2 linked regions of the Nothobranchius furzeri genome follow. The protein of the gene in region 2 interacts with the protein of the main gene of each other region in a pairwise test. Links are inferred from orthologs where the notes say so. Each region holds a gene or a part of one and is shown on either strand. Other genes may lie near its edges.

What was found.
Region 1: the proteins of dlgap3 (region 2) and disks large homolog 4 interact in a two-hybrid assay, tested with the Homo sapiens proteins (2 studies listed by BioGRID and IntAct). The link is inferred for Nothobranchius furzeri from reciprocal best matches to the Homo sapiens genes DLGAP3 and DLG4.

Annotation. Positions count from the first base shown.
Region 1 is NC_091750.1:46,514,278-46,529,677, reverse strand, and holds the end of disks large homolog 4, read right to left. Parts: intron 14,848-15,400; coding exon 14,671-14,847; intron 14,391-14,670; coding exon 14,348-14,390; intron 14,263-14,347; coding exon 14,232-14,262; intron 10,956-14,231; coding exon 10,908-10,955; intron 10,792-10,907; coding exon 10,690-10,791; intron 10,521-10,689; coding exon 10,348-10,520; intron 9,071-10,347; coding exon 8,958-9,070; intron 8,848-8,957; coding exon 8,756-8,847; intron 6,716-8,755; coding exon 6,609-6,715; 3' UTR 3,594-6,608; downstream 1-3,593. UniProt on the Homo sapiens protein: Postsynaptic scaffolding protein that plays a critical role in synaptogenesis and synaptic plasticity by providing a platform for the postsynaptic clustering of crucial synaptic proteins.
Region 2 is NC_091751.1:28,424,114-28,439,513, forward strand, and holds part of dlgap3 (disks large-associated protein 3), read right to left. Parts: intron 9,238-15,400; coding exon 9,135-9,237; intron 6,339-9,134; coding exon 6,122-6,338; intron 3,383-6,121; coding exon 2,844-3,382; intron 1,936-2,843; coding exon 1,841-1,935; intron 1,070-1,840; coding exon 850-1,069; intron 488-849; coding exon 193-487; intron 108-192; coding exon 16-107; intron 1-15. UniProt on the Homo sapiens protein: May play a role in the molecular organization of synapses and neuronal cell signaling. Could be an adapter protein linking ion channel to the subsynaptic cytoskeleton. May induce enrichment of PSD-95/SAP90 at the plasma membrane.

The sequences.
Region 1 (15,400 bases), on a different chromosome or scaffold from region 2:
TTCAGGCTGTAGCTGCCATGCTGTAATTAAGGTAACAAATGATGCTGACAGTCATCTGCTTATTGTCAACGTATTTGGTGGTGGAAAAGAAATGCCTTACCGAAACAGGTCTGCTGCGAACGCCATCTATTCTGCGATGGGTTGGAAACTCCAGAGACAAAATCTACCTACTGGATGGACTCCTGGTTGTAAGAGGCTTGCCTTTAATAAAGAAATAAATCTGCTCAGACAAATATCGACGCATCAGTCTGACAGTTTGGCAGTGGAGAGACACAAATATATATTTAGTTTGCAAAGGCAACACATTATAAAATAAACATCGATATTGACTGAACGTTTTCCTCTGGATGACCGGAGACAGAATTTAACATTTATCGTCCTGAGGTCGGGGCTGAGGAGTGGATTCCAGGAGCGTTTCAGGTAGAACGCCCTCCAGCCAGCCGAGACCTGGGGAGTGCTTATGCCGCGTTGAGATGCCTCAGCGCTTTTTCTACACACAGCCACTGAAGTTCAGAAGTGTTGCGGTTACTTTGAAATCATTCTCAGCTGAGTCTTCCTTCTAACCCTCACATGACACACATGCCAGCTGTTCTTTCATCCAAATCCTCCTCTGTCACTGCAGCTCTGGACCCCAGCAGTACACAAAGAGAGGTATTACTCTGGCTTCAGCCGGCTGCTCTGTGGAGAGCGGCTGAAACAGATTGCTGAATCGACTGCAGCACATAATGAAAATGACTCAGATCACATCAGACCAGTGCGATCAAACTGTTTGACCAATCATCTCTTTTCTTCTCCATATTTGAAGTGTAATTTGATGCTAATCACGTGCATACGTTAATTATTCTGTGTGCTTACTCTGAACTTCTCATTAGTTTAAAACTACGCTATCCCCTGGCAGTGAGAGAAGATGCTTACACATTTTAGCATCTGTGAAATAAAACATTTCACAATTTTCAAAGATTGTAATAATTTTGTATTTTAATTATGAAGAAATTAAATTTTTTCTGGTCCGTTTTGCTCAATGGCCCAGCTGTACGTTCGTGCAGCAGTTAGTGGGTAGGTTCACTGTAGGGCCTGGTGTATGGATCAGACATAATGACTGAGTGGAGGATAGCAGAGTCGTGTGGGTGGGAGGAACCCAGTGGCTGGAAAGCCTCACCAGTTTGGAGCTTCAGATTTTGTTCCTGTTCCATGATGGATGTTTTCCAGTCCCCCAGTTTCACTCTCTATGTCACTGTCAGCTGGTAAAAGGCAGCAGGAATCGGCCTCAAAGAGATGGATGATCTGATTTATTCTGCGCCTCCACACAACAGAAAATTGCTACCATGTTATACTTGTTTTATACAATACAAGAAGTTCACTCAAGCTTGTTAAATAGGTTTTATATGGATGCTGACTAGAATATTCAAACTTTAGACATGTCTAAGGAATTATACCAGATTAATAAATCTGTAATAAATAAATAAATCTGAAGCAGATAATGTGACCAACCCGCAGTGCAAACTCTACCTACTGCTATGGTTGGTCTAGGTTTCTGGGCTAGGTGGAAGACTGTCCACAAGCCGCACGGACCCCAAGAATGCATCTGTATCGCGCTCAGTATAAAAGTGGCATAATTCCTGGAATTTCATTCTTATGGACACAATAAAATTCATGACCATAACAGTTTAGTTCATTCATTTCTAAAGAAACTGTCTCATCAACAAAAAAATAATATATAGTTAGAAGAAAAAGCTGGAGGGCCTAAGCCTTCCGGGGAGCCAGCTCCCCGCTGAAACCAATATGCACCCTCATTCCCAAAACCCATCCGGAGCATGGAGACCCCAGTCCATCTAGCCCTAGCCCAAAACAGCAGCATCACAGAACCCCACAGAGACTGAGGCCACCCACTCAGCCCCACCCCAGCAGAATATCTACGCCCACCCCCACATTTGACCAACCTCCAGACTACGTAAGACATAAGGCACCCATGTCAAGCTGGATCCTCCCTCTCTCGGACATCCCCCTCCTCCATGATGGAATATAAGTGCATCTGCCAGAAGGTACCAAGGTCTACCCAAGGCCCGGAGCCAGGGCCAGGCACTGCCCCATGCTCCCGCCCTTCCACCAGCATCATAGCAAGGCCCCAATTCCCCAGGCCCAGCATGGATCCACATCCGGGGATGACTGCCCCCATATCCCAAGCCTCAAGGTCCTCACCCAGACTCACCAGAGGCGCCAGACCTTTCCACCCAGCCCCAGCACTTTGGGCTCTAACGGCCCCCAATTGCTGAAGTTTAGCAGCAAAATGAATGTCCCAAATATCAACAATTGTTTATGTTCTCCGAATACAACTAAAACTACAATCAAAACAGTTTATGGTAAATGGTCTGTATTTGATATAGCATCTTCTAGAGTTCTGGAACCCTCCCCCCAAGGCGCTTTACAACACAATCAGTCATTCACCCAGTCACGCCCTGGTGGCGATGAGCTACACTGTAGCCACAGCTTCCCTGGGGCTCACTGATAGAGGCAAGCCGGCCGTACACAGGGGCCACCAGTCCCTCCGACCAACACCAGCAGGCAAGGTGGGTTAAGTGTCTTGCTCAAGGACACAACGACAGTGACAGACTGAGTGGTCCACGAACCTGCAACCTTCCGATTACGAGGCAAGCACTCCTGTGCCACCGTTAGATAGAAAACAAAACCATTTTAAATATTAATAAATTAAGATACAGTAATACTTGAACTGGCTCTCACTGTGTCTGCTGGAAACATCTCTGACCCTTGAACACATTTATTTGAGGACCTCTGCCCTAAAGGGTCCATCATGACACAGGTCTCATAGGAAGGGTGTGAGTAGGACAATAATGAACACCTTGATGAAAGAAGATCACATTAAATCAGGATACCTTGCTTATGGAAGTTTCCTGAAGCCAGACCTCCACTGGGCTTGATTACCTGGTGGTTGAGCCACAGGGGTTCAGCCTGAAAGATGGGAAGTCGTCTCATCATGGCTCCAAGCAACAGGTTGGCTGCTTAGAAACCAGGCAGCAGTTGTGGGATGGGTGCTCTGATTCCCTGAGTCAAACTAAGAAAACCTCAGGTTTTGAATTAATTTGGAGTTCTGAGAGCTTAAACAGGCCTCCAAACAGCCAAAGAGAGAGATGCAATTCAACAAGAAATCAAAGCTTATGGTATGTTTGTAGCATGTTTATGACCCGTTTAGCCTCCACCAGTTGTAACTGATGTAAGCTGTGAAAACAGTTTGAGCACCTACACATCCACACAGACATATGAGGCATGTAATCAGGCAAAAGGATCATCAAGAGTCTCTGCTTAATAGCAAAAAAAAAAAAAAAAAAAAGAAAAAAAAGGTTCCCCTGAGGAGAGGAGGAAGGGGTTTTTCACCAGGAAAGCCGTCATCTAAAAAATAAATAAAAAACTAGAGCAACTCTGCTGAAAACAGCTGAGCTTGTGTAAGCAGCTGAGGATGGAGATGGAGCACCCTCTTCTGGTCCGACTGCCCATCCACGTCCACCTGTGGAGCCGTGAGGGATCAAACCAACGTGGAAACGTAGAACTGCATTAACAAAAGAAGACATCAGAGTCCATTTTCAGAAAGCATTTTTAAATTAATTTTATTATTTTATAGCTAATTTACAACAAGCGCTTCACTGAACTGGAACATTTTATTTTGCTTCATATTGTCATTATTTATTGAATATATTTTTCTGCATCAGTTGACTTTGTCATTAACTTTGTATTCAGTCTTTTCTGTAAAAATTCATATACTTTATAAGGAATATCACACTATGATACGGATGGCTGAGAGAGATATTAAGAAATACACCGAACCCTCAAAGAAAGAAACTGAAAACATATTATTCCATTCATGAGCACATTCTCTGGGACTCCATTGGTGTGTAGATGTAAACGCATATGTGCACATGCTATTTTGTTTGTGCATGTGTGTGTGCGTGAGTGTGTTGCCCACCCAGAGTGTACATGTAATTTAAACTGGGCTGTAGCTCTTAATGGCTTCTTCTATTTGCTTGAATTTAGCATTTTGACCCTAAATCCACATGGAAACCCAACTTTGTATTTACATCGTCTGCAGGCCGAGACCCAAAAGCTTTCTCGATGTGGGGAAAAAAAAAAAAAAAATCCAACTCGGGATGGACAAGTGACAATTTAAAATAAATAAACCAGAAAACAAAAAAATATAGATTTTTGTCACATGTTTGGCTTCCACGTTATGCTGAGAGGATCAAATAAAGAAAATCAGTAAATATGGATGGTGATTGCCATCAAAACCTTCACTCTTATAATTCAGAACACAGAAGTTAATACAAATGCATGCTCCTAATCGGTCTTCACCCGCCCCCTTCCTGCTCATATTAGCATTTAATGCCACCAGTGCAAACTTTTTAGATACCCCTTTTTAAAAATCTTACACATAAATCCATCTTCATTGCATAACATCATAGCAGTATTGCACTACATCTTCATATGTGTGTGTGTCTCTCTCCCTCTCTCTCTCACACACACACACACACACACACACACACACACACACACACACACACACACGCACACACACACACACACACACACACACACACACACACACATTTTATACATCATAGCCATAAGCTGTAAGAAAGGATGTATTTTCACTTATAGCATCATCTATAATTTATATACGACACACACTTTCTCACCACTCGCACAGGCAGCAAACAAGCGCACACACACACACACACACACACACACACACACACACACACACACACACACACACACACACACACAGTCACACAGAGACACACAGCTGCATTGCACATGTATTTTTTTTCAAACAAGAACATGTCATAGATGTCAGTTCAAAGCTTGAGTCTGAGGTCTTCTCTAAATCATCTTAAATGTGTTTTTTTTCCTTTCTGTTCAGCATTTATTGTGTTTTACAACAATAAAATGTGTCTATGAGGAAATCCAACAACCAAAACAGCAATTTCACCCAAATAAATCAACAGAAAACTGCTCGGAAATGTTGATTTGTACAGACTTATTCCTGTTAGAAATTGTCATAAAAAAGATAAATATTTATATATATATTCATATATATAGGCCATGGATTTTTTTGGATATTTTTTCTTTCTTTAAACATGATTTAGCTTTAATTTGTGTGGACTTGAGAGGGAGAAAGATGCAGGGAAAAGTGGAAGAGAGAGAATACAAGAAGACCTATTCCCTCCACGCGAAAGGAGTCGCCACAGTCGTCTGCAGACGCACACACACACACACACACACACACATGTACAAACACACGCACACAAATGCAATGGCTTTTGCTGTGGCCACTGCAAACAGCGTGTACGTCTGTGGTTGAGGGGGATCTTTTTGGAAGAGTGACCGGCGGTGAAGTTAAGCTGTTTGTGCCTAAAGAGATAACATTCATCCTGGATTCTGACAAGCGGGTCAGAACAGCCGGTCTCCCCCTGCTCTTACTGCAAGAGGGGTGTGTGTGCGTGTTGCTGGACGAGTGTGAGACTGTGTTTGTGTGTGAGCATGTGCGCGTAAGAGGCTAAACTGTAAATCAGAGCATCGATTTGGCTCGGGGCCAGCCTCTTCTACCTTGACGAGACATGCTAAAACCCTTCACGTCTGCCTTTCTTCATCGCTCTCGTCTCCTTTGTTGTTGAGGAAGCATGCACAAATTCATCATATTGACTTTTAAACATAATTATTTGAACTGCCTTAAAATAATCCATTCAATTATTTAAGAAGTGAGTCCTGGATTTTGAGGCACTTCTCCTCAGGAACCACAGCTCAAAAAGGGTGAAAAGGGAATCCTGCTTTGCTCCCAATCTGCCAACATTCCTGCTCTGAAACCAGCTAACCCTAACCCTGCTCTGAAACCAGCTAACCCTAACCCTGCTCTGAAACCAGCTAACCCTAACCCTGCTCTGAAACCAGGCAGAACAAACAGGAAGTGGAAGACAGAGAGCCAAGGGGATCTTGCAGGAGGATTGTTGCATGGTGGTCTGTAAAGGTGATCTCCGACCTTCCTGTGTTGACCTCTCCTCTAACATCTGGAATCCAAACACAGACTGATTAAAGATCTACATGAAGGACCGAAGTTCACACCTGGCTTGAAAATTCAACTCAAATCGAACTGTTTTCCAATGAATTTACTTGATATCAGGAGGGGAAACGCATCTGATTGTGTATTTGGGTTTAGATGCATGTATGTGCACGTTATATAAGCATCACTAAAGGGTGCAGTCACAGCCAAAACACACTTTAATGCTGATCGTGAACTGGGCCTCAAGTATTGAACCCTACTTCATTAAAAGTGGAATACAGATAAATATTTTCTCTCTGTCTCTTTCAGTTTAATTACACATCAGTGTGTTTACACGAGTCATAAAGTCTCTGTTTCCTTCATTTATTGTTTTTGGTATCCTTCTTTGTCTCACTGGGTCACTTCCTGTTTTTGTCTCTGTGTCATTTGCAGCCTAAGCGCCGACTTCGCTGGAGGACTTCGCAGGCGGGCGAGGCTGGCTCGGCCTTGAGGGTGGAGGGGGGAGGAGAGGAGAGTGAGGGGAGGTCGGCCGGGTGCAGCATCACAGCCTCTCCCGGGTGGGGATCCAGATGTAAGGCCCCGATTGCTCCTCAATCACTGTCTTTACTTTATGATAAACTTCCTCAAAGCTGTCCCCGTCCACGACAGCTGCAGCAGGAAATGAGAAAAGAGAAGAAAATCATCAAAGAGCGAGCAGCGACAGAAGGAAGGAGGCAGAAAAATGATAAGATTAAAGGATGCCTTTGGTAGACAACTTAGGGAGCAACTTTTTAGAAAAATGATTCAAAAAAATCTTTTTACAAATGTTTCCACACATTTTGAAACTTGTTTACTTTTTCAGTGTCTGATACAATGTCACGTACCACAGCAATCTGGCATGTGGTAGAAACCGCAGACAGCACTGGATCTGTCAGAGATCTGCTGCTGGGATGTGCCCTAAATGCATCTCTAAAATATTAAAAATCTCTGAGTTATCCCAGAAGACTCTGGTGGGACTCAAAGCGTTCATCTCATTCAGGGTGGAGGAAGTCATGAATCAGTGGATGAATGAAGCTTGAAGCGTACCTAACAGAAGCGCCGTGAGTGCTAAACGTCTGAGTGCTAACGGTGATTTAAAACAGCAGCTCTGATGTGCATTAGCCAAAGTTTACGTAACCAAAACAGCTTTTGTCTTCCTGTAGAAACGTCTGACCTGAGAGAACACATGAACTCCAAGATCTGGGAGACATTTTGTATAAATTAGTTTTAAATCTGACCAAAACAGCTATTATGATCTTAAACTCTATGAAAGATCATGGGTGACGTGCACATTTACAGAATGTTCTTGCCTAACTTGAATGGTCCACATGAATGCTCTCAGGAAGACGTTTTAAAGTTCTGTGCTTTTTGCATGTTTTTGTTCGTAAATATCCCATGCCTTGGGATTAAAATCTATTAAAGCAACAATTGATAGTGTTTAACACTTTAAACACTTTTGTTTTCAAACTGGTTTCAGTGGTTTTGAGCGAGAACATTCACCAGCTTCACATTGGACAGCACTCTGTCGCCTTCTGCTGACCGGAATCTGCACTTAACAGTTTTGTGGTTGGACAGGAACACTAGTGGGGGGAGGGGGGGGGCTGTCTCTGCTTGCATTAAGCTTGGTTTATGCTTGACGCATTTACTTTCCGCTTGGTGATGCGGCTCGTGGCTGGAACGCGCTTTACAACTCGCAGCGTTTATGGTTCATGCGGCTCATCTCTGCGGTGAGCCAGTATTCTCCCAGACTGAATGGGGCAGCATGGAGCTCTATGGCATGCATCCAACACTACACCATTGTAGAAGTAAAAATTACTGTTTACAACATGGCATTCCAGCATTTTTTAACAGCGTCCTCGTCTTTTCCGACAGTGCGAGCTATTTCTCTCCAAGAATTATTAACAACATGTTGATCACGGTGATCTCTGAGAGCTGAATCATACAAATGTCTGTATTTACGAACCTCTGCCAGTCCGCCATGTTTTTCCGCGTCCGACCGTCCGCGTGGTTAGAAAATTTCCTAGGTGCGCGTTGCGGAAATTTTGGGCCGCGCGGAGCCGTGCGGACCTCGCAGATGCGTCAAGCATAAACCAACCTTTACGGCAATAGCTGTTTACTGTGCTGGTAGCTAGTTTAAAGGCTACCAGTTTGCTTTTGAGAGGGGAAGCAAGGAACTAAACTAGAGTGAACATTGGAAACATAAGAAATCACAGACTGATGGTGACCTAGCTTCTTTGTAAGTAATGATATTTGCTTTGTCAAGCAGTGTAGATCTTTTTCTTTTAAGGCTTATTTAATATCTGTTAGCATTAGCTTGTTGTTCCAACCAGTAAAGGGCGAACTGGAAAACTTATCAAGTTCAACTTTAAACTGTAAAAGTTTGCTAATCTGTAAAAATATGCTGGAAGGATCAGGATTTCTATTAGTAGAAGTTTGTTTTTATACAAATTTTTAACAAAACAGAAGAAAAATGAACAAAACAGTGAATCTATTTTTTATTTTATTTTATTTTTACCAAATCACATCTGGTGTAATCTACCTCCCACTTGTCTTTAGCTTCAGGGCTATTTGGATCTTTAACACTTGAGTGTAAATGTTATGTTCTACGAAATTAAATACAAAAGCCAAATGGGTAAAATAGTCACATCTTTGTGATAACAGCATTCCCACCTGAGAAACACTCTAGGAAGTCTTGCTCTAGTTTGAGGGCTCTGTCCATCGCTTTCCTGGCCTGCTCCTCTGTCAGACGAGTGTTGATTTCTCTGTTAGCACACACACACGCACGCACACACACACACACACACGCACACACACAGTTGTTGCCATAGCACGTTTTTGCTGATGCTGCATTTGAGGAGTTGTGAATACATACAGAACATTCTCCAGCGACTTGGGCCGAACAAAGATGGCGATAGGGTGAAGTTGAGCTGCCTGTAGTCTACGGACAGCGTTAGCAGACACATCCAGGATGCAGTGCTTCCCCTGCTGCTTGTGCACACACACACACACACACACACACACACACACACACACACACACACACACACACACACACACACACACACACACACACACACACACACACACACACACACACACGGTCGTGAGGATTTTTTAGGGGAAAATTGATCATTGGTGTCATAACAAATGAAAGCGCTGTTGGAGGCTAGAGCTGATGTGCTGAATTTTGATATTCAGGTTTAAATAACATCCTTGAGTCTGATCAAATGTGAGTGAAGAAGGTGTTTTTCTATTTCATAACTTCATATATGAATAAAATGTAATAATAATCATTATGTCAGAATGGGTGATTCATGCCTTCATTACATCCCGGCTAGATTACTCCAACTCCTGCTTGTAAGGCATCCGTAAAGCTGCTCGTCCAGACGTCAGCAACAAGGTTTCTGACTGGAGCTGACAGAAGACGGCACATTACACCCAAACCTAAATCACTCCATTGGCTGCCTGTTCAGTTCAGGATCAATTTCAAAATTTTGCTTCTTGTAATTAAATCATTGAACAGTCAGACCGCTCCCTATTTAAGCGAACTCCTCCATTTCTACCACCCTCCTCACGCTCTGCAGATCAGCTCCTCCTCACTGTGGCACGCTTGAAGACCTGTGGGGAAAGGGCTTTTTCCATCTGTGCCCCAAAACTGTGGAACGCACCTCCTCTCCAGGTCAGACAAGTGCCCTCTATTTTATGGGCGACGGTGGCACAGGAGTTAAGTGCTTGCCGTAATCAGAAGGTTGCAGGTTCGAGCCCCGCTCAGTCTTTTGCTGTCGTTGTGTCCTTGGGCAAGGCACCTGACCCACCTTGCCTGCTGGTTGGAGGGACAGTTGGCGTCTGTGTACGGCAGACTTGCCTCTGTCAGTGTGCCTCAGGGCAGCTGTGGCTACAATGTAGCTCATCACCACCAGCGTGTTAATGTGTGTGTAAATGGGTGAATGACTGCTTGTGTTGTAAAGAGCCTTGGGGGGTTCCCAGGACTCATTTCCATTTTTAAATCACACCTGAAAACACACTACTTCTCCCTGGCCTTCAACTCCTAAACCATAAAGCAACCATCATACTTCAATATTAAATCCGTGAATTAGCATTTTGTGGTTTGACTTTGTTTTAGTGGTTTGATTCCATTTCCCTTTTTTGCTTGTGTTGTTTTACCATGTGCAGCGCTTTGGTCGGTTGTAAAGCCGCGTTAAAAGCACTCTAGAAATCAAGCGGTACGTATTATTTTCCTTTTCATCATCATTCCTACGTACTTGCTCGGCCACCTCACGGACACTTTGCACACTCGTCCCGTACAAGTGGCTGTTGTACTGTCCTGCCTCGATGAACCGATGGCTCTGGATGTCCTTCTCCATCTGTTCCCGGGATGACACAAAGTGATAGTCTCTCCCGTCCACCTCGTACTCCCTCTTGGGCCGCGTGGTGTCTGTCGGGAGCAGAAGGGAACAATAAAAAGAATGCATATGCTCATTTTCAAATGAAAACTAGAAATGCTGCAGGTGGTGCCCCCCCAGCAAAATATAAATATAATAATAATAAAAAATAATTAAATACTGTGCAGATCAGTCTTTATGCGCGACCGTGTGATTACTCACGAGGGACACAAGATCCAAACTTATCAGGGAACTCGGACAACAGGTCATCATTTATCCTGTCCTTCACCGGACCCAGGATGATGATGGGCCTTGCGTAATGCACTTGTCATGAGGAGAGAGGAAGGAGAAAGAGAGTGGGATCAGTCGAATAAGGGAAATCAAAACAAAAATGAAATGTCATATTAAAGCCATCAGCCGCCGCTCCTGCAGGGTCTTACCTTCCACTTGAGTAACTGTCTCATAACTGTGGGGGGTTTTATCTCTCCCTGGTGACAGAACAGAGGCAGTCAGCATCACATCGTTTTTTTATTAGAAATGAGATTCAGCTTGGCGTCACGCCCGTGTGCATCACTCATATGCCCTGAATAGCTGCTAGCTTATATGTTGGAGGCATTCTTTGTGCATGTGAATGCAAATTGTGGTCCTGGATTGCTGTTGATTATTTCACTCCTTTAAGGAACACAAATAGTCAAATTGTTCCATCCATCTCGAAGCATCACAGCTGCAGCAGGCAAAACAGGAAGCTGGCCGAAACAGATGCTGACCGTATAAATGTGAGAATGGATAAGCATCATTTACGCATCAGCAGAATGTGACGGTTAGTTAGGTTTGTGTATTTTAATGTTAAATGAGTCTGCTGAATGTGCGCTGCCTCTGAGAAACGTGAGACAGATGTGACTTTGCACTAAAAGATTTACAAACAGATAAATGATCCCAAACTGAACCGATTTATTGCAGAGGCTCATTTTCTGTCATCCTGGCTTTTAAATGGTTTTAAAAATGTGTTGAATGGTTCAACTTGGCTGTTAAAACAGTTGAAAGGATGAATGCAGACGCAAACATGAAAACCAAAAAGTTTAGTGAGCATCCAAATGAGTCACAGGAAATGGAAAAGAGCTATTTTATAAATCAGTCATTTTATTAAAGGAAAGAAAATGGTTCTAAAACTGTAAAGGCCAACAGGAACGAGCTTTGGGTGAATCATTTTGTTTTAGGCTAAATAAGACATAGCTGGGAAAATGAAACTGGTCAGATGTTCACACACTAAGAACACACAAAAAAAAGAAGCTTGTTGTCTGAGAAACAAAATATTTAAAAAGATCAGTCTGGAAGTAGCATTATTACATGGATGCTGAACATTAATCTGCTTATTATTTGTGGAGTTAAAGCTGAAATCACCTCACTAAAAACACTAATCCTGCTTATGGGCCTCTGATGTGTAACAAAATCAGCTAATTTAAAGAAAACTTCTTTTTACACAGATTTTCTTTAATATAACATTTATCTTAGATAATGGTAGCATTTTAAAAACTACCTTGGATGCTGAAAACAAAAGAAGTGCTGATTTAAACAGACAATATGTATTTTTACCATTAATCTCTGGAAATATCCATCAAAATGTTGTTGAAAATGAATAAAATGATGTCCAGTTGTTGAATATTGGCGGCTTCTTATCATAATTGAAACCATAAAATCAAGTACTTATCGTGGGTCTAGCGACTTTGGGGACGCCATATTAGACGTGTTTTCTTCTGGCCTGCTCGGGGTTCTTCGCCTGTCGAGGTGCCTGTCTAGTAAACACTAGATTGGCTGGACGTATGACTTATGGAAGTTACGATACCAAGTTCACAAACATTTAGGCAGTAAGAAACACAAAGTTAAAGAGCAAACTGCAGGTTAGAAACTACCATGAACCAATGTTTAGAGAAACATAATAGAAACTGGTTTAAAACATTTTTTACACATGCATAAATTATTTAGGCTTTTAGAGTCATTTCTGTGAGAAAGTTTTTTTTTATTTTGGCCAAACCAAGTGACGTCAGCTGAGGGAGTCCTGAGAAAAATATGGACTCTAATGCGGCTCTGACACAGACGAAACTTTAAATGTTTATAATTCTACTTCTGATGGACCAGACCCATGAAGTTATGAGTTTGCTGCACGCCCCAGAGGGCAGAGACAAACCAGAGGGAGAGACCATCAGTCAAAGCAGAGAGATTGGGGAGAAGTAGCTGGGGAGCAGCAGGTGAGTTAACGATGTTAGCTTAAACTCATGTGCTAACATCACAATATTGTACAGATTACTATCATGTATCAGACAATTACAATAGTATTGGTCAATTAATGCAATATTAATACTTGACAATAATAAACTAATGAGCGTCTGTCAGCTGTCTCATACTCGGTAATATCCGTTCACGTAACGTAGTTTAGTGCTTAGAGAGGGAGAGACACGTCTGTCATCCGGTTCTGGAGCTCAGGTGGGCTTCTGTGAGCTGGATCTGACCCAGACACCAGCGAGCCGGTCCAGCTGGTATTTTTAAAAGCTGTGCATCCTCTCCTGGAGGTCCAGGCGGCTGTTCTGATCCGGTTCCGACCCAGAAACAAGCTGACCCGCTGAGCCGAGTGTCTCTTCTGGTGGTCGGTTCTGACCTGGTTCTGATGGGGATATGAGCTCCAGAAAGCCACATTTAATTTTTTAACCCCACCACGGGTCTCTAGAGCCCAGCGTGGACCTCCCTGTCCCGGTACTGACCGATGTGGGCTACAGAAGTCCGTCTTTTCAGCTGCAGAAACGCCCTCAGGCACAGAGATAGAGGCGTTGTTTCTCTTATCTGGAAACCCGTGGACTCGATGTCCAGACAGGCTGGAGCTGGTACAGCCTTCACAGACTCTAGTTTATCTAAATGAACACAATCCAAAACTCGTAAACACACACTGACTGGATAACATGACCTCTCTAAACTAAAACCAGCCACTCTCCACATTGAGCTGAGGCAGCGCCTAGCTTCTAACTCCCTTTGGTCACGTCAGAGGTTCAGATTTAGAAAAAAGAGCTTTTTTAGAAGCTTTGCTGAGAAAGGCCACTTTTTACTAGAAAACTCTGCTGTTGTGTATTTTACAACAAAATATCCACAATAAGCATTTCAAATAGTATTTTTGGGCAGCATTTTATATGAATAAGAAAAAAAATAACCTGCAATTTTCTCTTTAATAACAAAACTGCTAAACTCTGTCCAAAACCGATGTGACAAAACAGAACTGAAAAAGAGTGGTATTGCTTTAGTATGATGACATCACCAGCAGGCGCAGAACCTCGAGCAGATCTGTGAAGTACAATGCCAGAAAAACTACAAACAACACTGCATTCTCGACGGAATGAACTGAAGGACCATCAAAGTCTGAGCAGCCGTGCAGAGGTTGCATGCTTTCTGCTCCACAGGTAACAACATTACTTTACATTTACTTTAAACTAGCAACAGTCACGGGGATATGGTGTAAAACTACCCTGAAATGTATGTCCTGCCCCCTAGTGGCAGAAAACTACACACTGTCACTTTAAAACTTGACTATTTTTTCTCCCGTTATGCTTTCTGTCTTTATTATTCTAAAACGTTTCATTTCCTGAATGTCTGCATGATTTGTGAAATTGCCTTTGATTGTGTTGTATTTTCCACCTCTGAATCACTGCAGTAATCAGCCTAAATCAGGGAAAATCAGCCAGCCTTTAGTGATGTTATACGTCTGTGTTTATACTAATTACCTTGAGTGCCCACGTTGTCTCGCCCGTGGTCCTGTAAACAGAAACCAAACTCAGATTAACTCTCAGACGTTTAAGAGAAGCGACCTCATTCAGAGTGCACGGGTGAGTAAACAAACCCTCTCTTTGGTGTTAACCCGAGACCACTCTTTCCTTTCCACCCTGTAGAAAGATGAAGCATTTTATTGACTAAGTCTCTAAAACAGCTGCTGAAACACACACACACACACACACACACACACACACACACACACACACACACACACACACACACACACACACACACACACACACACACACACACACACACACACACACACACACACACACACACACACACACACACACACACACACACACACACACACACACACACACACACACACACACACACACACACACACACACACACACACACACACACACACACACCAGGTCCGACCTGTGCTTGCTGGGGATGAAGCCGACCTCCTCTGCCTCGTTCTGCGGGCTGACCTTACGGGCCTGCCACCACTCTTCATCTCCACAGTCCAACACGTGGAGAACGTCCCCGAACCGGAAGCCCAGAGCTTGACTGAGGAAGCCACAGTCTGCAGTCTTATCATAGTCAAACAGAGCCCTGAGGGAAGGGAAAGGAAAGCATTTAGTGATGATCTTTTCAACCTCTCCTGAGATTTCTGAGACAAATGCAGCTTAAAGTGTCACTGATGCTAAATTTAAAGGTATGATCTTAAAATCAGAAACAGAGATGAGAACTTCCTGACATCTAGGCGTTAATGATAAAGCCTCTCAACATTTCAGGGACATGTTTTCTCATATTTATGACGGCGTCGTTTCAGAGTTTTTTCCGTCACTTGCAGGGAGAAGCTATTATCAGAACCATTTTCTCTCTTCTATCTCCTGATTTATGCAGGTCTTTTTACTCTGTGTCAGTCATTAACGAAGACCCAACCCATCAAAAATAGCCAGAAAATTCAGATATTTTGGAACTGTAATGATTATGAACCCTTAAAACAAAACCCACATTTCCCCCTATAGCGTATTGTTTATGGGTTTATTTTTTTGTATGACATTTGAAATTTTTGGCTACTTTTTGTTTACAACAATGTTCATTTTTGAGGGGAAAAAAAGTTTTGTCAATAACATGTTGAAATTATAGAACATGTTTTTTA
Region 2 (15,400 bases):
CATGTGCATACGCACCACACTTTGCTGGCAGAGACGGAAGAACTGCTGAACTTTTTGGGACATGAGAATTTGGGCACTGCCAACCACATTTCGAATGAGCTGAAGCACTGGAAGGAGACATGCTGTGTACTTATAGACATCCAATAATGATCAGATTAACATATTTAACTGTAATGCTCATTTGAACCTTACCCTCCTCAGGAAGTTCATTCTCTTCTGCCTCTCTCTCCATGTTCTGGCACCACCCCTCCATCCTCTCCACCTCTGTCTGCAGCAGGCGGAGGAAGAACTCCCCATCCCTCATGCAGGGGGAGGTCCGGCCAGAGTCAGGTAGGCTCCTAGGGCCCTCTATGGATGGTGTGGCCATCCAAGCTCGCTCGGAGGTAACGGGTAAAGGAGAATGGGCACGAGGAGGCAAGTGGGGGGGCTGGTGGGGCTTTGAGTCCACTGGGCAGGTCTCTGTGGTGTAGCCACCCTGGATTAGGTCCTGAGATCACATAAGGATCCATTTGTTTTTGCAGCAGATTGAACAGAATACCTTTTTTTTTCTATTTTATTCTAATTAATTTCAAATACAATCAAATGAAGACCCTAGCAAGAAAACAAAGAATAAACTCGTTGGATGTGAGTTGCAGACTTTGTTTAGATCTTTGCAGCGTTTCTTCAGCCTTGCTCACTCAGAGGACATCTCCAGATGTTTTCTAGCTGGTTTAATGTCGCATCACGTTCATAACATCTTTCTGATGTACTTCACTTTTAGCAAAAAATGAGTGTAAAGTTGCACGTAAGATGCATGGCATGTGTTGTACTTCCTAATGATCCAGACCCAGCTCTAAGGTGAAAACCCACCTCTCTGTAGGCCCACTGGCCCTGAGTGTGGACTGTTCGATGGCACTCTGTGTACTGGCTCGCAGACTCGGGCTCAGAGGAGTGCCGTTGGAAGGAGCAGCCGAACTGGAGACTTTTATCTTGCATTGGCACAGAGATGCTGCGCCCCGGGAAGCCCTCAGGATCCAGGTCGGCCTGAACACTCGCCGTCACGCTGTTGGAGCGCTTGAAACGAGCACGCCTGCAGACGCACAGAGGCACGCCAGGTTCAGATCCACCCAGTCACACGCAGGCTGATATTTAATTTTTCGCCTCATAAAGGCCTCCCAGTATAATTAGGACTGTGATGTCACACCTTGCCTAGTTGTGGTAAATCTTCAGTTTGTGGAAATGTCATGTCAGCGTGCTCACTGATGAGTGTTTGAACTGGTGCAAGTTTGTACCCCACCATCCCCTTATTGGTGTGGCCCAGACTTAACCCCCCCCCCCCCACCCCCGGGCGAGGAAGGGTGTACTCAGACACTTATCATTGTCTGGGACTATTCACATGCATGCATGTAAAATCTGACCTACAAAAATTCTGGCTATAATTAGGGGAAGTTGGGTGCATGGTTTGCTGTCGTCATGGTTACACTCACTAACAGAGAGGAATGATGCTTTTTTCCCCCCTCTGAGTTCAAGCTGTGATGCTTGATGAAATGTTAAATAAATTAATAAAATCAAGAAGACAAATCAGCCGTGCGCGGCTGCACTGTTGGGCGCACAGGAACGAAGAATATAAATTCTAATTATTCACATAAATTACTGCGCAAAGGCCAACAGTTCTTGATGAAGATACATATTTTGGAGGAAAGAGAAAATAGCAAATAAACAAACACTTCTCTGAGTTTGCAGCTTGTGCCTTTGATGACAGAAACTTTAAATGCCAAGCAAAACAATTCAAGTTGGCATGAAGTTGTGTGGATGATTACTTTTCTACAGGTCAGAATCGCGATGCTCTTCGTTTTTGTACCTTTTCTCATCTTCCACCTGGATTCCTACAGAGTGCACCTCTGTAAGGGCCTTTCCCTCCGTGTCCGAGTCTGACAGAGACTCTGAGCTGTCCACCTGGGACAGAAAAGCAGCAACACAAAGTCAGACTGAAGATAAGAAAAGAAACTAGAATCAAGAGGATTTGCCACACTGGTGTTTTGCTATGTCTGCGAACTAAGAAAAGATGAAAGAACCGCTGTCTTTACATACAATGCAATGGTTTTTGGTGCAAAAGTGGATGAGTGATATCTGCGGGGTATTGTGAAGAAGAAGGTGCAATTCGCCAGACCCAGCAGTTCAGAAGAGGAACACCATCAGAGCAACATGGGCTCTCAGAAGACCTGAGCAGCGCCACAGACTGATGGACTCCACGCCGCGCTGCATCGCTGCAGTAATCCAGGCCGAAGGAGCCCAAACTAAACACTGAGTGCTGCACACGCTCATACTTTTCAGTTAACAAACATTTCTGAAATTCCTTTTTTGCATATCCCTTAATATTCTAATAATCGGAGATACTGAATTTGTGATTTTCATTAGTCAGTTAAAATCATCCAATTTAAAAGAAATACTCATTTGAAATGCACCGATCTGTGTGTAACGAATGAATTTAACATACAAGTTTCACTTTTTGATTGTCATGATATTCTAATTTATTGACCAGCACTTATAAATCTGTTTTAAACTTTCTCTATTTTCAGATGTAGAAGACAACTAAAAATGTACAAGTACCATCTACTGGGTTGTAAACAACACAGAACAATTACATTCACATACATTTTACCGAACCTTTTGTGTGTGTTTTCCACATGAGATGACGGTTAACTGCCTAGTAAAATATGAGAGCAGAATAGTATTATCATAGTTCTTTGTGTTCTGTGTAGTCCATCGACATGGCCATATAGCTGGTGTTCCATGAAGGTCCTAACTAGACTATTCTAATAAATCACAGAGAGACAGATTGATGTTTATGAAATAAATCTCACCTGCACAGCGATGGAAGGTGTCCACTTCCTGCCGCCACGTCCGTCATCCTGCCCCCCCACTTTATTTAGTACTATGCTGTTCTGAGGAAGAGAGGATGACTTCCCCAGACTGCCCCCCACCCTACTGTCCCTTTCCCTCACTGGTCTTGGCAGACCGTCCAGCAGGCTGTCAGCTGAGCAGCTGTGTTTGGCCCTCACACCCATCCCTGGGCCCCCATAATAGGGCACCACCTCCCTTGAGCCCCTGACTCCATCCAGGCTCTCTGCAGAGTTGCTGTGCTGGCGGGAATGACCAGGTCCACTGGCCGTGTAGTAGCCTCTACTGGAGGTCCGACCTGAGAGCCCATCTGCGCTGCCCAAGTCCACTGAGTTACTGTGCTGCTTGGGACGCCCGGGGCCTGAGCCCGGAGCCATCTGTCCACTGCCTTGGAAGTAGGCATCCTGGGTGGACTCAGTACTGCTCTGGGCTCGCACCGAGAGAGAAGACTTTGACATGCGAGGTGGGAGTGGGGGAGGAGCACCTTTACGATAAGGAAAGACTGAAGCGAAGGAAGAGAGAGAAAAAAGACAGAGTTGCATAAGACAGTTAAAAGTAAATTATGCCCACAGGAAGGGGGGTACTTACAAAAAGAACAGGCTGAAAGAAGAACGTAACAGGGAGTAAAAGAGCAACGAAAGGAGAACCAGCACAGGAAGGTGGAGAGGGAACATCAAGAACATTTAATGAATCAGGCTGGTGCAAAACGTGACACAGAGTTATGAACCTGACTTTAATGTGGCCTCGCTTTGTTAAAACTCTGCTTATTAAAGCTTTAATATAAAAAGTTCAACAGTGACAAAAGAAAACCTCTAATGAACACGAACATGAAACAGTCTGTTGAAAACAAACTGAGCCATCTTCTCTTTAACCCAATCTCTGGAGGACAGTAAGGATTCTATCTGAAGCTGTGACCTCCTGTGTGCAAACATCATGTCAGTAAGCAGTGTTGGGCAAGTTACTTCAAAACTGTAATGCATTATTTATTACTTGTTACCCTCATTTTAAAGTAATTCATTACATTACAATATTACTGATTTTAAAATGTAAGGCATTACACTACTTTTGCATTACTTTAAGTTACTTTCACCAATACGACTTCAATATGAATCTGGTAATGTGACGCTCAGTGAGCTCATGACATATATGTGGAAGGTGATGTGGTGTCTGAGCTAGGGTTGCTGTTAAAAACAGTCAGATATAATAACAGTGCTTTAAAATGATTGTTTATTAAATAAAAGCAACAACAATCTGTACTCTCAGCACGCTGCCATCTTATATTAACTGAGCAGGGAGTGGGGTGGTGGGGGCTCTAAGCCTATATTTGCCTTGGTCCCCAAATGCCTTGATACGGCCCTGGATGTGGGAGTGACTTCTGGGGTGATCTGATTCTATCTCATGTATAAATATTAAATGCTTATATATTATTGCTTTTCACTGGTAAAAAATGTGTATTGGGGATAAATCTCCCTACTTGTTTTTTCTTTTCAAGCACTTTGTTTTGTTTTCTTGATTTTATTTGAATGATTTCCTGACCTTTCTCTCTCTAACCTTCCTGCATGCTGCATGTTTTCTCTGTCTTCCAGAACAACTGTTTACTAGATTTCCTACTTTCTAACTAATCAGCCAAAGGGATCTACCGAACGCCAAAAAAATAAATAAAAAGCTTAATATGTACTGCGCTCCAGCAGCAATGAGTAGAAATCACCGGCGCACAGATTATGAACTCAGCTGAAAAGTACATGAAGTACCAGAGAATATGGGCTGATATAAACAATAGTAATCGAATTACTTTGTTTTGGTGGAGTGATTTTGTGAATATAACAGCGGCCGCGCGCAGGACGCAGCTGGAGTATTTGAGTCATTACCGCTGCGTCCTCTCTGCTCATAGAATGCCCGCAAAGCTGAGTCCATAAATGACGTCATATATGTGGATACTGGATCTTTTTACAGGCTTCCCGCAATTTGAATTTTTAGGAAACCCACATCTTGATTCTGGGTTCAAAAATGCATTGTAATTACCGTGTTACTGACAATTGTACCGAGTAAATATTACCATTTTCTTTCCCTGTAATGCCTTACATTACCACATTACTGCAAAAATCAATGCATCATGGTAATTAATTACATTTGTACCGCATTACTCCCAACACTGTCAGTAAGCACATTGTTGCTGGGATTTCTGTAAATGCTTCTTTGCAGAATCTTCAAAAAATTCAACAAGCATTTGCAGAAATCTAGGAATTTAGTGGCACCTTCCAACACACACCGAGTAGGAACAAAATAAGCACATAAAGGGATTTTCTAGTGAAGGGCTTGGAGATTATATGGCTGCATTAGCATAAACTCATCAGGAGATGTGATGAGAGGGTTAGAAGAAGAGAAATAGAGTGAGACAAAAGCAGGACAGCACGCTGAGCTATCACCATAACCATGAGTGTTGCTGTACCTATTACTGTAACCGAGAAACCTTCAGTCACACAAGGGAGGGAGTTGAGACACAAAGAGAAGAAACAGAGGTGAAGAAGAAGCATGGGCAATAACACATACGCCTGTGCTGATGGCCAACACATTCTCACACCCTAAGCGTCGAAAAAGACGATCAGGGTGTCCCAGAGCGTCGGTATCCGACGCCCGCGGTGAGACGGACGTTTGACCGAATTGTGACCTACTTAACCTTCCCCTCATCCCCATTCTAACCTTAACCAGCTTGCGCATGCAAAGCTTAATTGAAAATGACTGAGTTAAGGTTAGGATGGGGGTGAGGGGAAGGTTAAATTGCTGGAGGTTCGAGGTGAAATGTCCTTGTCACCACGGGCGCCGGGCACGTATCCCTGCGGTGACACGTGCCCCTGCGTGCCCCTGCGCGCCCTCTCCCGACGCACTGAGGCACCCTGATCGTCATATTTTGACGTTTGGTCACATGCGTCATGTTTTGACGCTTAGGGTGTGAGAATGTGTTGTGCTGGCGAACATACACAAATGCATAGGAGGAGAAATCTGGGGTGAAAGGTCAGATCATCACAGGAAAAGGGATCGGCAAAGCAAAGAAGGCTGTGAGGATGAAATCTAAAACAGGTGCAGACACCGCACATGACATGCAGCTGTGTAGAAGGCAGGAGTATAGCTTTGTGTAACAAACCAAACTGACAGGTTGTCATCGACCCTCCTCACCCAGTGTGCCCTCCATCGTACATTGTTCTGACACACATGCAGCCTGCTGGTGGACCATGCTACTCACCGGCCCCGCTCTTGATGGTGCCCTGGGGGCCCGACATGGAGAAGACGGAGAGGCAGTCGTCATCCTGCGAGCAGCCAGCCTGGATTGCACGGATGTAGCTGTGGCTGCGAGTGCGGAACACACCGGGAAGGTCCAGAGCCTCCACAGCCTGGGACTCCACCTCCCCGAACACAGTTTCACAAACAGCCTCAAACTGGTGGTTCAGCGTGTCTCCCAGCTCAACATCGGGAGGTAAAGGTGTGTTAAACAAAAGCATGGCTAAATATCACATCTTTAACCAGATTTTTAGGCCATTTTGAACGTATTCATTTCTAAAAACTATAAATAACTAGACATGTTGCATTTGTAGCAGAAATGCTGTTTAAATGATGATTTCTTGGTTACCATGACAACAGTGCCTTTGAAGTTAAGCCTAATTTATACTTCTCTGTCTGCGTTGGTATGGAGACACGCAACGCCGTTATGCATCAGCACAAGGGCTCTCCGACAGGCTCACAGAGGGTGACAGAGACATGCCCCAATTCTCAACTATCCATCAAAAGTGATGGAGACCGCAAGCCTGGGATCGGTCAAAACGCCACTTCCTGTAAATTCGTCAACAGCACCGCCATTGTCAATATATAATGTCAATGGCCATTGCCCCTACAAAAAATAAAAAGATACCTTGCAGGGGACATGGGGCAGATTGAATAATGCTTCGCGGAGAAGTCAGACAATACGAAATTTTATTCGCCCACGACTCAAGGAGTACAAAGATACACAGCAAGTGTTTTATTTGTGGACAGAAATGACGAGAAATGTGGGTTTAGAGGTGTCGGTCACAGAAAGAGGAAGAGGAGAATGAGGGACAAATTTGTTTGTGTTAAAAGTCCTTGAAATACATTAAAATGGCGTAAATACAATAGTAGACTATCATGAACCAGATATGTGGCTGATGGAGAAGTATAAATTAGGCCTTAGGCTCCATCCACTTGGTTACTATGACAACCATGACTTTAAAGTAAGGCCTTCCCCACTAAAAATGCATTGTTACATTGTATATCTTAAAACATTTTAGAGATATCAATACCAAAACTCATGGCCAACCTTTTCCAGATGGCTTGAGTGCTCCAAGCACTTCTGTTTGAGAAAATTAAGAGAAGATGTGTGTCGAAAAAAGTACAAAATAAGCAACAATCAAGAGAAACAGGAAAGACCCCTTATGAAGAAAAATATACATGGAAACCGTTTTCCCTCGCCTGGATGTGGGTCACCGGGGGCTCCCTCTGGAGCCAGGCCTGGAGGTGGGGCACGTTGGAGAGCACCTGGTGGCCGGGCTTTCCACCCATGGAGCCCGTGCGGGCACAGCCCGAAGAGACAACATGGGTCTCCCTATGGACTCACCACTCATGGGAGGAACCAAAGAGGTCGGGTGCAGTGTGTGACGGGTGGTAGTCGAGGGCGGGGACCTTGGCGGTCTGATCCTCAGCTACAGAAGCTGGCTCTTGGTACGTGGTATGTCACCTCTCTGCTGGTGGAGGAGCCTGAGTTGGTGTGTGATGTTGAGAGGTTCCGACTAGATATAGTCAGACTCACCTCGATGATTGGCTCTGGCTCCGGAACCAGTTTCCTTGAGAGGGGCTGGACACTCTACCACTCTGGAGTTGCTCCCACTGAGAGGAGCTGAGCAGGGGTGGGACTGTACGTTGGTTGTTTACTCTGGTGAACGAAAGGGTAGCCTCCCTTCGCCCACATGTGGGGGGATGGGTCCTGACTGCGGTCTGTGCTTATGCATCAAACTACAGTTGAGACTACCCACCCTTTTTGGAGATCTTGGGGGGGGGGGGGGGGGTGCTGGAGAGCGATCCTTCCAGTAACTCCCGCGTTCTGCTGGGGGACTTTAACGCTCACGTACAACGGCAGTGAGACCTGAAGAGGTGTAGCTGGGAGGAACGACACCCCCCCCCCCCGATCTGAATCCGAGCGGTGTTTTGTAATTGGACCTCTGTGCTCGTCACGGACTTACCACAATGAACACCATGTTCAGACACAAAGGTGTCCATGTGTGCTCTTGGCATCAGGATACCTTAGACCGCAGCTCGATGATCGACTTTGTTGTCATCTCATCTGATCTGCAGCTGCATGTCTTGGACACGTGGGTGAAGAGAGGGGCGGAGCTGTCAACTGACCACTACCTGGTGGCGAGTTGGCTCTGATGGTGGGGGAGGATGCCGGTCAGACCAAACATATTGTGAGAGTCTGCTGGGAATGTCTGGAAGAGTTTCCTGTCAGAAGGAGCCTCAATACCCACCTCTGACAGAACTTCCAAAACATTCCTGGGGAGGCGGGGCACATGGAGTCCGAATGGGCCCTGTTCAGTGCTTCTGTTGTTGAGGCGGCATTCACCCACATTCCTAGAGCAAAATGTAGAGTGAGCGGATAACCTGACATACATGTTTTTAGTCTCTGCGAGGAAACCGGAGCACCTACAGGGAAATCATTCCACACAGAAAGGCCACCAGCTAGGAATTAATCCAGGAATTTCTTGCTGCAAGGCAGCAATGCTTCCGACTGTGCCATTGTGCAACTCCAATCTTCATCATTTCACAGCCGTTCATGCTGTTCAAATATTAGGTTTATATTTATTTGTTTTGCAGACACTTTCATCCAAAGCAATAAATTCCAACCAGATATGTAACAAATGCACTTTTTGATGCAGTCAGATGACCTAACAATTTGGATTTTGCTCAGTGGGAGGAACCCGGAGCACCTGTTGAAAACCCAAGTATGCATGGGGAGAACAAGCAAACCCCACGCACACGCTGCAGCCTGGATTTTAACCTGCAACCTTTTTGCTGCACGACACAGTGCTACCAACTGCACCACTATTTTAGACTCGTCTAAAACTTGATTTCTCATAACATGTCAATAAGCTGTTAACAAAAGGAATGGCATTCATTTATAATTTAGAAACACACTTTCAGAGACCCAAAGCTCCATCTAATTCATGCACAGACATGACGTAATTTAATACCTGTGAGCTGGTCAAAGAGCGAGTGTAACTGCGAGAGCGAGCGTGGGTTTTCGGGGCAGTTCTGCTGTTGGGGTAAGAATCTGGGCACTGCTTACACGAGTACCTGGAATCAACAGAAACATAAGCATCAGTGGAGAGTACAACAACAAGAAACCAACCTTCTGACGTGCTGCTGCGCTCTGGCCGTGAGACCCATTTAGTTTGTTATAATTATGTTAGAATGTTGGAAAATACAGTCCACTGGTTAATAATAACAGTCACATGACTTTTATGGGTCATGTTTAATGCTCGCATCAGCTTGAGTCTTTCAGGGTTATGAAAATACATAACTCTCTCAAATGGGAGCAAAAATGCAAAATATCCAGATCCCAATGTGAATTTTATCCAACATCATTCAGATGTTGGAATAATTATCACCGTTCAATGGTCAGAAGTAGAATTAAATGGGAAACCTCACAATATTTCACATTATTGTATATATTTATATGTAATAATGCATGAACAGCAAAGAATTGTGGGAGTAAACGTAGTGTGGAGGATCCTCACCTTTGAAGACTGGCTAATAATGTTCTGTGAGGATTGCCTCGTTGTTGGTAATGAATTAGAATAATGGGTAGCTAATTTTTCACCCTGTTTCCAGGTCAGTGTTTATTTTTATAGGCTAACACAAAAAACTGTTGCAAAAAAGTCTAACTGATACAGGAGCAGTTTCAACAAAAATATGAAAACAGAGTTAGTACAGGTCAAAGTTGAAAATTCAGAATATGGTGCAAATGTTAATTTTATTCAGTAATTCAACTTAAAAGGTGAAACTAATAAATGGCATGGACTCCATACATGCAAAGTTAAATATTTCAAGCCTTTATTTGTTAAACTTTTGATGATTAAATCACTGAAACCACATCAGTAAAGTCACTAATGATATTCTCAGTTAAGGATCCTGTTTCTGTTCTGGCCTTGTTGGATATCTGTGCTGCTTTTGACACAGTCATTATTCACGTTATTGTCTTAAAAGGCGCAAACATGTAGGGACCAAAGGAACTGACAGCTCTAGGCTGATTTTTCTTATCGGTCTGACAGATTTCTCATGCGAAATCTTCTTTGTACTCTAGGGTTACATGTGGAGTACCACAGGGTCCAGTGTTTGGACCAATTCTTTTTACTATATATACACTGTCCAGCAGAAAATAACATAGTCACCACCTGGATTTAACTAAGCAAAAAATGTACAAGCCTCTTATCTATCTCAGGCTCAAAATAAGTTTTGATAAAAGGAGGAACAACTAAGTCCTTCAGGGGTTCTTCTGAGTTAAAAAATGCTCATGAAATACGTATGTAGAGTAACCAGGTAGGTAGGTTTTAACGTTGCTAATCTGCAACGCCTGCCTCCAGAGGGTTAATGGATAATTACTGCATGGGTGATTGTCTTTCAGCTGGAAACAAGTTATTTAATCCAAACTGCTGCAGTGAGTTGCTTCTCATTTCTCAAACAACCATGTGGAAAGTCACACCTGGTGGTCGTGGAAAATATGTTAGTCTGTTTCAGAAGGGTCAGATCACTGGCATGCATCAAGAAGAGAAAGCATCTAAGGAGATTGTAGAAATGACTTTAACTGGGTTAAGAACCATAGTCCTGTGTTCATGTCTGTTTGTATGTGAAGGTTTCAAAAGTATAAGTTTGGGGTCTCACAAGTTGGAGAGAAAAGAAAGGTGGGCATTTTCATTTATCTACTTTTGATTTGTTTTATTCCGTAAATAGCTGACTTTATTTGAAGTTTTGCTTTTCTCCCAAACCATCACGTTCCTGTGTGCCTCTGAGGTGTGTGTGTGTGTGTGTGAGAGAAAGAGAGAGAGAGAGAGAGAGAGAGAGAGAGAGAGAAAGAGAGAGAGAGAGAGAGAGAGAGAGAGAGAGAGAGAGAGAGAGAGAGAGAGAGAGAGAGAGATCAGTTTGTTTGCGGGGGCCCTGTGTCTTGAATCTTTTATTTACAGCTGATTGTTAAAAACTGTGTGTGAGTGTGTGGTATGCAGCAGACTCAAATAAGGTAATTAATGATGATCTAGATGTTTCAATGTTCATCTGTCTTTGTGCAGCTTTCTTCTAGTGTTTTGATTCACGTGTTACACAGAATTGGGTTTGCAGATGACACCACCGTCACCGGCTCATCTCGGACAGGGATGGGTCTGCCTACAGAATGGAGGTGGACCGGCTGGGGTCCTGGTGCAGCCACGACAACCTGGTGCTAAACACACAGAAGACAGCAGAGGTATTTGTGGACTTTAGGAAGCACACAGCCCCATCCCACCCCCCCCCCCCCCCACCCCCCATAATCCTGTCTGACACTCCAATCATGATGGTGGACTCATGTTGCTTCCTGGGCACCACCATCACCTCCAAAAGAAAAAAAAGGCCCAGCAGAGGATGTACTTCCTGAGGCAGCCGAAGTAGAGTCCAGTAGAGTCGATGAGGCAGTTCTTCACCACAGTAATTGAGTCCATCCTCACTTCTTCAATCCCCGTGTGGTACGCTGTAGCCACCATGAGGGATATGAAGAGGCTGCAGTATGGTGTGTGCTCTGCTGAGAAGGTCACTGGCTGCAAACTCTCCTCTAAACAGGATCTGTACACCTCCAGGACATTGAGGCGTGCAGTTCTGTCAGTAGAACTGCTCACTTCAGTTGCTTTGTTTAAGTCAACTGACCCTGTCCAGGCTAAAGACCAAAGGTGACAGATCATCTGCTGCTGTGGCCCCCAGACTCTGGACCTCTCTCCCCCTGAGGCTGAGATCAGTGGACTCTAGGGCTGAAACGCTTCCTCGAGTACCTTGAAAAATTTGAGTACAAAAAAGCCTCAAGTCAAATTCTCTGCCTCGAGGATTCGTTTAATTCATGTTTAATTAATTCTTGGTTTTGCAATCGCCCGGGGTCATGTTTCACCCGGACCAAAATAAGTGACGTACATACACACTGCACTGAATGCACACGCAAGTAGCGAATATAACTTAACTTTCTCTTAAGCCATGGCGGACAATGTGGACCTCGGAGGAGTGCGAAGAAGACAGAAAATGTCAAAGGTGTGGGACCATTTTTCTCTTCATAAGGCGGAAAACGTAGTCCAGTGTAAATACTGTAAAATGGATCTAGCCTACCACAACACCACATCCTCCATGCTGCAGCACTAGGGATGGGTACCTTTGACATTTGAATCGATACCGGTACTTAACGGTACCAATTTTCGATACTTTTGAGTGTTTAATATTTTAATTTTCTTTTATTATTAAATATATATTTTTCTCAATTTATAACCATATTTGATAAATATCACGATAAATAACATACAACTGTTTGTATTTTAACATCGTCCTTGTAGTTTTATAAGCTGATAATTAAACTGAAGCAAACATCTTTACTGTGAACTAAATTTACTGTGTATCTTCATTCCTTTTGCCATCATTTTTCAATTGATTTTTCCTACTGGGAAGTTAGAATTTCCGAGGAGAAAGCGAACGCACCATTAGCTGATAACAATGGGGCCAATGGAAGCTAACATATCAAGCTACGTTAGCTTAAACAGTTCATTTAGCTGCTGGAGCAGATTAAAACGATGATGCCTCACACTTAAATCGTTGTCACTGGTTTCATCTTCACCCAGTCACCCGTCACATTTAGTAAAGTGAAGCCAAACTTTAGAGTGCGTTCATGTTCTTCTTGTCGGAATTTCGGAGTTCCGAGGAGAAAGCGAATGCACCATTAGCGAAACGGAAGCTAACAAATCAAGCTAACGTTATCTTACATTTTATTTACCTACCGGAGCAGATTAAGATGAGGATGTCTCACTTAGATCGTTGTCGCTGGTTTCATCATCACCCAGTTACCCATCACATTTAGTGAAGTGGACCCAAGCTTTAGCGTGCGTTCTTTCTACCATGCTGCTCTGTTTACAACTGGCTCTCAGCGACCGACGACATAACGCTCTTGCGCATGCGCAGCTGTCTAGGCAAGTTCTCGTTGTGAAGGACGGGTACCGAAACGAGGCACCGTTTCAAATGAAGTGAATCGGTGTTCGGTCGGTACTATAGAGCTCCGGACCCCACGTGACTCTCAGTTAGTGGACGCCATTTTGGCATGCAAAAAAGGTAAACAAACACGGATGTAACCATGAACATGAACGGGATCCGCTTGGATTTTACTTCGTCGGAGTTTACTTCACACTTTAAAACAGAAGAAATCGTTTTATATAGTCAGAAATTAAATAGACTAAACATCTCCGACCCTTACCGTGCCCCTGGGATACTTTTTAAAAACGCCAGAAGATGTCGGAGCGGACTTCTTACCGGCACAACACCGGACCTGGCCGGGGGAACCCCTTGGGATCCCCCCGGCCGGAGGAGCTGGGGAGAAGGTCTGGGACTCTCGACTCTACTGCCCGCTCCGACGCCAGAAGCTGTCGGAGCGGGCTTCTTACCGGCACAACACCGGACCTGACCGGGGAACCCCTTGGGATTTACCCGGAGGAGCTGGCTCCGGCGGCTGGGGAGAGGGAAGTCATGCTACTGCCCCCGCAACCCGACTCCGGATACGCGGATGAAAATGGATGGATGGACGGACAAATAACAGATTTACACGTAAGTAGTCTCGGTGTGTGATCTGACAATTGATCAACCATTGCTTAAACATTAAATACAGCTTAGCCGGTTAATTGCTGTGATCATAAAACACGGAAACGGCAGCACGCAGAACTCACGAGGAAACGTTTTACGTGATGTTTACTTGTTGCTATGAGTAATAAGACAGAAAAAGCCACGCCAAAATAAGTTTAGGAAGCCCACTAAGAATCGTAATAAAAGCATTTAAAATAAATGCCATACACAGTTGAGGAAACGTTGGTTTAAGTACCTGATATGAAGTGGTCGCTGCATAAGCGAAATCCTTTACTCTCGGGATCCCACAGTTTCATTTTCGCCCGGTCACTAGCGCGTTTTATTACAATTGTTTGATCCAACGTTTGCGGCACTCCGGATCTTGGGGAATCCTGTAGATGGCTCATTCCTTATGTCGTCCGCGTCTGTTCTGCATCCTGGGGCACAACAGGAATCAACCATATTTCCCGTTTGATTGAGTTTTTGGACAATAACAAATAGTCCAGCTGCCGGCTTCTGCATGCCAATATGGCGCCGTTTCGATTTGAACTGTTGCATGCTGGGAAAAGTGACGTCAACTCCCGGAGCTCTATGGAATTCGGTCGGTACCTTAAAAAGTACAGAATTCGGTACCCAACCCTATGCAGCACCTGACCAGGAAACATCCACATGTAAATGTCTCTTCTGCAAGCGGACACGTCGAACCTAAAAATGTGCTAAAAATAGCAGTTTTTACACAACACGTCTGACTTTTTATTGTGTTGCTATTGATGTTGGTCGTCCCTCGGGATTGCTGCAGGAGGACTGTGAGGGATTTATCTCCTCACTAATGGTTATGTCTCGTGTTTCTGTTTAATCCTGTATTTCTGTGTTTGTGTGTGTGTGTGTGTGTGTGTGTGTGTGTGTGTGTGTGTGTGTATGTGTGTGTGTGTGTTAGGTCAAATAAGCTTGGTAATCTATAAATTACTTTAAGTTAACTTGATTTATTGGTGATCATCACTCCTTTCCTTCTGAGGTCATTTGTTTAAGTGTTGCCATGGAAGCGCGCCCATAGGCAGCCATGATCAGTTCCTGGTGTGCTTAATCAGCTCTAATGAGGAAGCAACTAAATGACTCAAGAGAGAGGGGGGAGAGGAGGTTATCTTGTGTTTGTTTAAGTGCAGTTGTTGTTGTTTTTGTTCTTTTGAGTTAAGGTAGGAGGTAAATATGTAAATAGATTGTTTGACATATTTTGTTGAGATGTACTTTATTGATTGCAGGATTTCAAGCTGATTGTTTGCCCTGCCCATGTCATAATGGTTGGTTCTAAGTTAGCTTTAAAAGGGTGGATTCAGCACTGGTGTTGGTTGATTGCTTGTTAAGGGGAATCCATGCCTCAATGTCATGGATTGTTTGCATAAAAAAAAAGGATAAAAAGTCAGAGCTCTGTAACATCCTGGACTCTTGTGTTTTCTTCTGTTGACAAACAGCTGATAACATCCTGAGTGAGTGACAAGGCAGAGGCTCTGTCTGGGCCCAAACCTTACAAGGATGCAGGTATTTATGAGGAAAACGAAAGAAAGCAAATAAATGTTGTGTGATCAGTATAATTTGACATAACCATGACAAACATGCTTTCGACAATCCTTGT